Drosophila melanogaster: one gene and its partner. The protein of the gene in region 2 interacts with the protein of the main gene of each other region in a pairwise test. Each region holds a gene or a part of one and is shown on either strand. Other genes may lie near its edges. The genes, in order: CG34230 and CG14823.

Evidence for each region.
Region 1: the proteins of CG14823 (region 2) and CG34230 interact in a two-hybrid assay, tested with the Drosophila melanogaster proteins (one large-scale study listed by BioGRID).

Annotation. Positions count from the first base shown.
Region 1 is NT_033778.4:11,859,626-11,862,685, forward strand, and holds CG34230 (uncharacterized protein), read left to right. Parts: upstream 1-1,684; 5' UTR 1,685-1,731; coding exon 1,732-1,840; intron 1,841-1,890; coding exon 1,891-1,976; intron 1,977-2,030; coding exon 2,031-2,163; intron 2,164-2,219; coding exon 2,220-2,281; 3' UTR 2,282-2,390; downstream 2,391-3,060. Other genes in the region: Mgtor (megator), read left to right, coding at 1-246, 305-438, 690-977; Twdlbeta (tweedlebeta), read right to left, coding at 2,994-3,060.
Region 2 is NT_037436.4:7,064,104-7,070,033, reverse strand, and holds CG14823 (uncharacterized protein), read right to left. Parts: upstream 3,721-5,930; 5' UTR 3,651-3,720; coding exon 3,308-3,650; coding exon of another isoform or gene 3,261-3,307; exon of another isoform or gene 3,174-3,260; coding exon of another isoform or gene 3,166-3,173; exon of another isoform or gene 3,067-3,165; intron 2,480-3,066; coding exon 2,255-2,479; intron 2,031-2,254; coding exon 1,807-2,030; 3' UTR 1,793-1,806; coding exon of another isoform or gene 1,628-1,792; 3' UTR 1,564-1,627; coding exon of another isoform or gene 1,414-1,563; 3' UTR 1,361-1,413; coding exon of another isoform or gene 1,235-1,360; 3' UTR 1,181-1,234; coding exon of another isoform or gene 1,036-1,180; 3' UTR 984-1,035; coding exon of another isoform or gene 835-983; 3' UTR 571-834; downstream 1-570. Other genes in the region: CG32391 (uncharacterized protein), read left to right, coding at 835-983, 1,036-1,180, 1,235-1,360, 1,414-1,563, 1,628-1,792.

The DNA of each region.
Region 1 (3,060 bases), on a different chromosome or scaffold from region 2:
CCGAGGTGGCCGGAGGCGCGCCTCATGAAAGCGCAGGCCCCAGCGATACGGGAGCTGCCTCGGCCAGTTCTCCGCAAAAACAGAGCGAGGCAGGGGAGAGCAGCGGAAGCGACGCCCTTAAAGCTGCTGACGATGGTGGTGATCATGCTGACGGAACAGATAACGCCAGAGAAGCAGATGAGGCATTCGCCGAGGAGACAATGGCTACTGGCCAAGGAGAAGACTCTCAGCCGCTAGGAAATGATAGTATGTTATAATAAATAGTGTAAATGGATTGGAAAACTAAGCACTCAATTTTATCCAGATCCAAATGTGGGCACTAGCCAATCGGAGGTGTCCCACAACCAAGCCAATCTTGGCGAGGGAAACCCCACCGAGGACAGCGAGGGAGCCGACGGCGTCTCCTCCGAGGGTGAAAAGCAGGCGGTGGGTGTTGAGGTAAGTAGTACTTGCATTGGTGGCAAGATAGCTGTGGAGAAAAGCAGGTTGGTCCCGATGAGACCCTGCATGGAAATACGTTGCTTTGAATGTAATTAACCCCATGGGATATGATTTGTAGTTCACCCCACTTATGGAGTGCATGGAATATTAAATACTGAAGAATGGATGTAATGTTTCTGTTGTAATCCAAACCAAGACCAATCTGCACCAACTGAATCCTAAATTGATTGCTCTCCATTTCTTTTTAGGAGGAGGGTCGGGAGGCGGAGGCCACTTCACCGTCGGAGAACACGCGATTTCGCACGCTGCGTAGTGCGGTGCCCACCCGACGAGGACATCGCGCCATGAGGGGTGGCAGTCCCAACAGCCAGAACCGTCCGCAGCGGATTGTCTGGCAACGGGACACGTCGCCGGGAAACATTCAGCAAAACCAGATGTCAGCCAATAACAATCGCTTTGCGCAACGGACCCGCAACCGTCGTCCCATTCGTCGTCCGCCTCCAAACAACTTCAACAACGGAGGACGATTCCCCTAGGGCGAGGAGTTCGGCGGACCCGCAGACGAAAGTCCGCTGTAGGCTGACTATAAAATCATTGCGTTTACTGGGCTAGAAATAAGTCTCCTCGCATTTAAAAGCGCTTAGGCTAGGATGAGCCACAAATACATATTACTCTACATTCTCCAGCTTGCGAGTCCTGAGTTTCTGCAGTTGACAAGATGCAAAGAGCTTTGGTTCTTGTACATTAACTTTGCTATAGAGTTTTTAATAAATATATGTGTAATTTTGTCGATATTTGATGCACCTTTCTGGGCAAGGATTTCAAACTGCTGTTACCCCAGCACTACAAAGTGGTTTACTCCCTGAATAAGTTGCCTCATTCTAGTAGTGTTATAACGCATTAAGATGTAGTTTTCCCCTCTTTAAACCATATTTCTTAGACTTTAAAGTATTTTAAAGAATTTCCACTAATGTTTTTGATATTCAAATGAATGTAAAAGATAATAATATTACAGTATTTAAACAAATCAATTAATTTAGTTTGATAACGTGTTCGATTAAAATCGCACTAGTTCTAATGTGAAATATAGACCACCGATTGCACTGCACTTTGGTGGCATTGACCTTAATTGGTCTAAGCTACGCAAGCCGATTAATTATGCAGCAAGCATTGGAACATGAAACGTGCTCCGAATTAAAGACTTCATCATAATTACCTGCTATTGTAAGTCAGTTGGCCAGGCAGTTCGTATCCGAAATTGGCTTAGAAACCCCCCAAAAAGAAACGAAAATGATCTACTCGGACAATTGCTGTTGCTGCGTGGATCTGAAGTGCGGAAGCATCCTGATAGCCATCGTTGAGGTGCTAATACGTGGACTAGATCGCTTCTTTGTTGATCGTGAGTGGTCCTGAGCATAGGAATAGCTAAGATATAACTGGCTTTCTTAGGTGACAGCCTGCTGGGACTTTTTTCCCTTGTGGTGAGCGGTATCTACGTTATCTGCTGCATTTTTCTACTGCTGGGAGCAGTTCTGGTAGGGATCCGTAATATTTTGGTTGGTGGACAATATAAAGCTGTCTAATTACAGGGCCTGAGATATTTTCTGTTGCCTTACCTCTCAGTTTCCTGCCTGCGGTTCTTCATTTTAGTTGCCGAGGGCGTGTTTGTAGCCACAGAGGGCATCATGAATGAATATCTAGTTTTCGATATTCTTCAATCCCGTAAGTTGCATTCAATATTTCGGCACAATGTTCAACTTGGCCAAATCCTTTTCCAGTTCTAGGCTTGTACTTTTGGCTGGTGGTCTACTCCTATTATGATCGCTTAAAGGACGCGTGAGCTTGTAAATTTTACAGTATATTGTTAAATATTGGTCCTTATAAAATTTATTCTTTCAATGTTCTATCATTTTGGATATAAAATAAAGTAATTTATAACCTTTTTTGGCAAACATATAGTATATTTGGAAATTATCTAACCATAATATCTTCAATTTCCGGTCAATTTTTACTTTCTTTTTCTGCAACATCTTGCAATAATGATAAATATTTTTAACGCTTTACATACATTTTTAACAATTTTAAGGGAAATCCATGTTGTAATCCATTGTTCAATGCGCTTTTGCAATCTTGACCTAAGTAACCAAATAAACAAATTGAAAGTTGAATATTGTATTCGACGTTAATAACGAGTAATGCATAATTGAGCAATATAAATTATTGCTTTCCCAATTATCGGTACCCAATAACTTGCGCAGTAACCTCATTTGTATTCAATGCGTGCTCCTGGTAAATAAAAAAAATATCGAGTGCCTTTGTTAAGATGCACTGATTGATGATCGTATCTCAAGATTTCTGGATCCGCAACGAATGGAGCGCTCATGACTTCAAGGTAGTAATATGAAATACTGTAACCGCTATAATAATTTTTTCATCAATATCCCAAGGACTTTAAGATCCGGCTGATTTTGCTTTCTCTAAACTCTCTTTAATGGCAGCGATCATAAATAATATTTACATTCATGGGCTGTAGACCTAGACGACACTACAAACTAGAACTGCTCGACGGTGCGGGGGGCAGGTGGTGCTCCGTACTCCTCGGATGGGGCGGACGGTGGT
Region 2 (5,930 bases):
TCGGATTGTCTATGCCGCATATTGTCTGCTCATTTGGACTATTTCTGTTTGCAACATGCGCTATTTGCACATTTGATTGAATAAAGTTATGTACACTTGTCATGCAATCGAGAGATTAGGACTCAGGCGAGGCAGAAATCAACGTCATCGTCCTAGGGATAAACAATGCCGACTTACTTGGGCATTGATGTCGGTAAGGCTAAAATAATTAAATGTGAAATATAAAATACAGAGAAAAATATCTCGGTATTAAAACTCTGCCAACTTTATAAACATTGAAGTTGAATCATGAATTAACAAAAAGTTCTTAGATTTGTATTATAAGTATATGCAAACCTATGCCATAAGTCTCTTTATCCTGCGATTAAGAGTCCGACAAATCCTAGGTAGGCCATGATGGAAATCATAAATTTATGCATTGCGCATACGCACTGTTTGCCCGCTATCAGTCGCAACAAATTAATGCGACATGGCAGCAATTAGTCCGGCCCTGCTAAATGATTTAAAACTTGCGCCAAAACTTTTGTCTCCCCTCCGCTTGTTTGTCCGCTACATTTTGCGCAAACTTTTAATTATTACACACTTGCGAGTTGTTGTTCAATTTGTTCGCGATGCTGCCAGATTATAAAGTTTTGTCGAGTTCAATTATGTACGCCGAATCGTCGTCATTGTTTGTTCTAATTCGCTCCCATTAACTTTGTGCTCTGGACGGCCCATTTCGATGTGCAATTAGTGTGTCCATGCCGGGAATAGCGTAAATTTTTTATACGAATCTCAGAGTTACTTTGCCTCAGACGGCCTGGTGCCCAAAATCAAACTATTTTTTCTTTTGCCATGTTCGAGGCAGATATAACCATCTGGCCGTTTTTCCACTCGGAATCTGTGGATGATAGGCGAAGATATATCATAAAGGTTATTCTGGAGTTATGCGTCTTCATTGTGATAGGATTTGTTCACTGGATCCTGGTGCTAACCTTGCTGCAGTAAGATTTGGATAATAACTTTTTTACTTATGATTTATGTAATTACTACTAGCGAATGGTTTCTGGTCTTGGTAAACGAGCACTCATCTGCATTGCTCCTAGCCTTTGTATTTGGCATTTTCCTACTTTTCCTGTTTGCCCTAAGTATGCCGCTAAGGAAAATGTCCTGTGTCAACTGGCTGATTACGTTTATTATCGTGGGTATTCTAACAATTAAATTACCTAACAATGTAACCCCATAGCATATTAAGGTGGAATGTGTGGTAGTTTCTCTCAGTGTGCTGATCATATCATCGGGAGTACTTTATATGCTTGCCGGATTTCTGATTGTCAGCCTTGCATTTGTGTTATGTACACTTATAGCTGCTTTAATGGCGGTAAGCTAGTACAGATAAAGGATGTTAAATAATCAACCAAAATCTTGCCTAAGTATGACCTCACAGGCACCGGACTCTACCTATATGCCCTTGCAACTGGCACTTACTCACTGAGCATATACTCCCTGGTATTGTATGTGGTTCTCGACGTGATCTGGGGATTTTATCTCTTCGCATTCTGTATCGGCTGTGTGGTGATGATGGTAAGCATTTTTCGCATTTTACCAGCCTGCAACTGTCTGCCGCATAACCACAAATCACTTGCAGTTCCTGATGTATCATGTGCAGTGCATCATGGGCGGAAGAAGGGCCTCGACCAAGTTGTTCGATGACAAGTTCGCCGCCCTGCTGCTGTTCCACGAGTTCATAGGCCTCTTTGTGCTAACCCTCTACTGGCGGCCCATAATGCATCGCCTGCAGTTGAAACAATAAACGAACAATCGGTTTTAAGTAATCCCCCTGTATTTCAAGCAGTTTTCCAATCTCCTCTCAGACAGGCTCCCCAGTGGCTCCTGCCTGCGGCAGCCGCCGGGTCCTCTCATGTGCAGCCTCACATGATCCCGACACTCGATCCGTCCGTCTCCATTGCAATCCTCGCCACCATATCGCTGCACATAGCTACGCACAATACGCTCGGCGCACTGGACATCCACCACGCATCTTCCGTAGTCTGTGGGTTGAAGGGTGAGATGTAGGAAAAAGGGTTAGTCGGTGGACATTACACGCTTGTGGCAGCCTGGCAACAACAGGATACACATGAAGAAATTTACAACAAAATCTTGAAACTGAAGATGAAAAGCAAATTTAAAATTAATAGAGAAATGGAGAAATGGCTTATGCTTTCGACTTGTTGTAATTTTGTTGCCAAACATTTTTGCTCAGTGTATTCATTACCCCGGGCGAGTGAGTCGTCCGGGTCAATTATCCGGAGTGCGTCCTGCCAGTAGACGTGGGAGATGCGATAAATGCCGCACGGCTCCTCTGGTCGTCCTCGGTGCCTGCAGATTGCCGGAATATTATCCGTGGCAGTGGTGGCCATGCAGTCCAGGCACTTGGCACTGGGCTCTGGGGAGGATGTCGGAGGCGGCTGGAATGTTGTTATCGTCGAGGTCTGGGCATCTGCAAAATGCATTCCAAAGAGGGTCCAATTAGCCGTTTAATCGAAACTATTTACCACACAATATGGCTAACAGCATGCAGCATAGTTGGCAGTGAGTTATCCATAGTTCCCGTGGACGTAAATAGCTCCTAGACCTCACGTTTAAACCGCACTCTCCTCGTTAGTTGCAAAGTTTTTTGAGTATGTTTTATTAGCAGATTTACTGAAGCAACTTTAAACTGCACTTTTATGAACTTTAAATTGATGTAAAACATAGTTCCGACTATATTTTGGCCTTATAAGTGCAGAGGACGTTGCTAAACGAAACTTAAATTGAGTTCACATTTGGTGTTTACAAACTTCCTGTTACTTAATAAATATAAGTCTTCCGTCGGAAAAATAATTGTTTGAGACTAAAGTTTTCAAGTCGAACTTAAGGCGAATGTAGAAACTATAAATCTATATTGAATGCTGGCAAACTTTAGCAGATGTGTATTTATTATTTACAGTTTAATCTCAAACTTTTACGTGCTTGACATACTGTCGATGACTGTCACTTATTGAAATGATCGATTAAAATTTTTTATATACAATAAAAACAACTCACGCGTTGCATAGTTGTTGTGTAATAAATACAAGCTTTTATTTATTATCGCTATAATTTCGAAACGTTGAAATCTGCTGGTTCATCTAATGGCAATTCTAATCAGTCAGCTGGGAAAGAAAAAAAACAAAACAAAGAAAAAGAGAGAAAATACCACTATCCCAACAATATAAACCGCTTATAAAATTAACCGAAGTCTAAGAGCTTCTTAGCGATTGAACAAGAGTCCTTGTGGCACACTCACCCACTCCCGCAGCGGTGACCATGGGAAAGTCCTCCTCCAGGACCTCCACTTGCCCCCGATCCTTGAGATTGATGTGCAGTCGGCCCAGATGATGCTTCTGTCTTAAGTGCATGTAAATGGCGCCGATGATGAGCAGAAGGGCGATGAAAATGGCGCCCGTACTCAGGACTTGGCGAGTGCAGCAGGACCTTCGAGTCCATCGTTTCCGCTTACGACTTTCCCCGGACATTGACAGCGCTTCGGCATATTCCTGATGCTCCACCACCTTGGACTCATCCGTTTCCACATCATCCTCACTGTATTTGGCCAATTCCGCCACACTGCTGCTGCATGTGGGCTCCATGGCGAGCTGGCTTCTCCCTTTGCTATCGCAAACCGACTAACCCAAGCGAATAGCTGGAACACTCTGTGGCATTTGTACATGGTACCAAGTTACAGGTGCTGCTCGAGATAACCTCCCCTCGATTATCGCTCAATGTTGTCGGCGTAATTGATGCCCGGCGATTGCGGTTTCTACATTCCCAGCGTTTTTTTTTCCCCCGACCAGCTAATCTGTTCCAGCGTTTGTTCTCCATTCCTCCAGCATTTCGGTGATTTTTCTCTCGCATTCAAGTGGCGCTCAACATGGTGATTTTTCTCCAATTCCCGAACATCAGTAGTTGTACACCTCAACAAGTTTAAATTGCATGTGGTTTCATTCCTAAAAGTGGCACGAATTTAAACAAGTAGTGAGTTTATTTTAAAAGTACTATATTCGGCAGCATTGGCGACCAAGCCGTGCTTATTTTGCACATAATACTCAAACTAATATGATTGAAATTATTTCAGAAAGTGAATAAAAATATTATCAAAAATGTGGTATCTGCATTTAATTTTAAGCTTTGTATATTTTTAATTTCATTCTCTTATATTTCTTTGGCATTTGATTAATTATAACAGCTCTAATAAAGAACTGAATGTATGCACAATTTTTCATGGAAGCATAGTTTAATATATTTAATACATATGTTTTCGTGACATGGAACATAATTTTTTTTTTAAATTTCAGCAGTATGTAGTTTTTATTGATTTTATTACATATTCATTTGATTTTTTCACGTGTATCTTTAGATTGGGTGTCGGTGACACTCCGCTTCCATTTGCGACATGACAACTTATGGCAGCCGTCCATTGAAAGGGGGGAAATGGGTGGCGATATTTGCCAAATGGGTGGTGGTTGGGTGGCTGGTTTTGCTGATAACCTTGCGCATTTGTATGCGCGAATTGTAAACAAATATGAGAAATTGTTGAGACTCTTGCGGCGAAATTGGAACGAAAGTTGGGGCAGCAAACAACAGCAGCCGTTTGTGGCACCAGTATCCAGTGGAAGGAGCGTCATCCTTCGAGAAGGGGTGTGACCAGGACGTCCTCGAAGCCTCCTGAAGTGCCACTTCTTCATACGCAAACTTACTTCACGACCATCGAAATCTGTCAACAGCAAAGTGTGGGTGTACCCGTGCAATGCATCCTAAAATGCTGCAAATCTCTGTTTACTTCCCATTTATTTATATTATTTTTCTAGAATATCTTCGATCAAGTTTGTTTGCTATCAAGTGGGACAGCAAAGATTTTTCGAAAACTTTTCATTGAGATGAGAACAAAGTTGTTGACACCTTCCAATCACGCCTTGCATTCTTGGACTTTTGGCACTCAAACAATTTTTACAAACTGCTTCCAAAAGTGTAAATACAAAAGAATTCCATGTTTTGCGAAAATATCAAACAAATTAAAGATTTTAAGATTTTAAAATGGGAAAGAAGACTTTGAATTTATTTAAGTTGTTCATTTCCTATTTAAAGAAATATACAAGCAAATAATTTCCTTCTTTTGCCAGAGCATGCTCAAATATTCGTTAAGAATTTTTCCAAAACTATCGTCCCTTTTTTTTGGGGACGCCTCTGAACACATCCTGCACAGGTGCTCGGCAAATAAAAGAAATGCTCCGTCACTTAGTTGATTATTCTTTCAGTTTTTCTGTACAGCAGCCATTTCCACATTGCCTCGCCAATGTCGCCATTGTCTCAAGGCGTTTCCGTTTCCCATTTCGGTATGTTTTTCTTCACATACGGCCAAGGCAAAAACTCATTTGTATGTGTGGGGGTGCGTGAGGGTTTCCTGCCCCTGACTAACACATGGCCAGATGAAAGGACGAGCCAGACCGCAAGCCAAAATCAATTATGGAAAAATTACCAGTGGTTGGGCTAAATGGCCTTTATACCGTTTGGATTGGGATTGCTTTTGGGATACGAATGGGATGAGGGTGTCGCCATGCATGTGAAATAATATGCGGTGAATTCTTTTCTTGCAAATTTTCCACTCCAGTTCCTTTTGTGAGCTGGCATTTAAGACCTCGTCCTTCGGGTTTTCTCCGCGCGCGGAAAATGCACGAAAATGGGAAAGGAAAATGAAAATGAGCTGAAATCTGAACGCGAGTACGAGCACTTGGTGCACTCGATTATGGTGGGCGGCAAGCTGCCGTTCAGCGGTAACGGTAACGGCTCTTTCCGGTCTGATTTTGCCACCCACTTCCTCTTTCCGCCCAGTTTGACCACCTCGTCCTTTTGCCGCTGCCGCTGTTGCATGC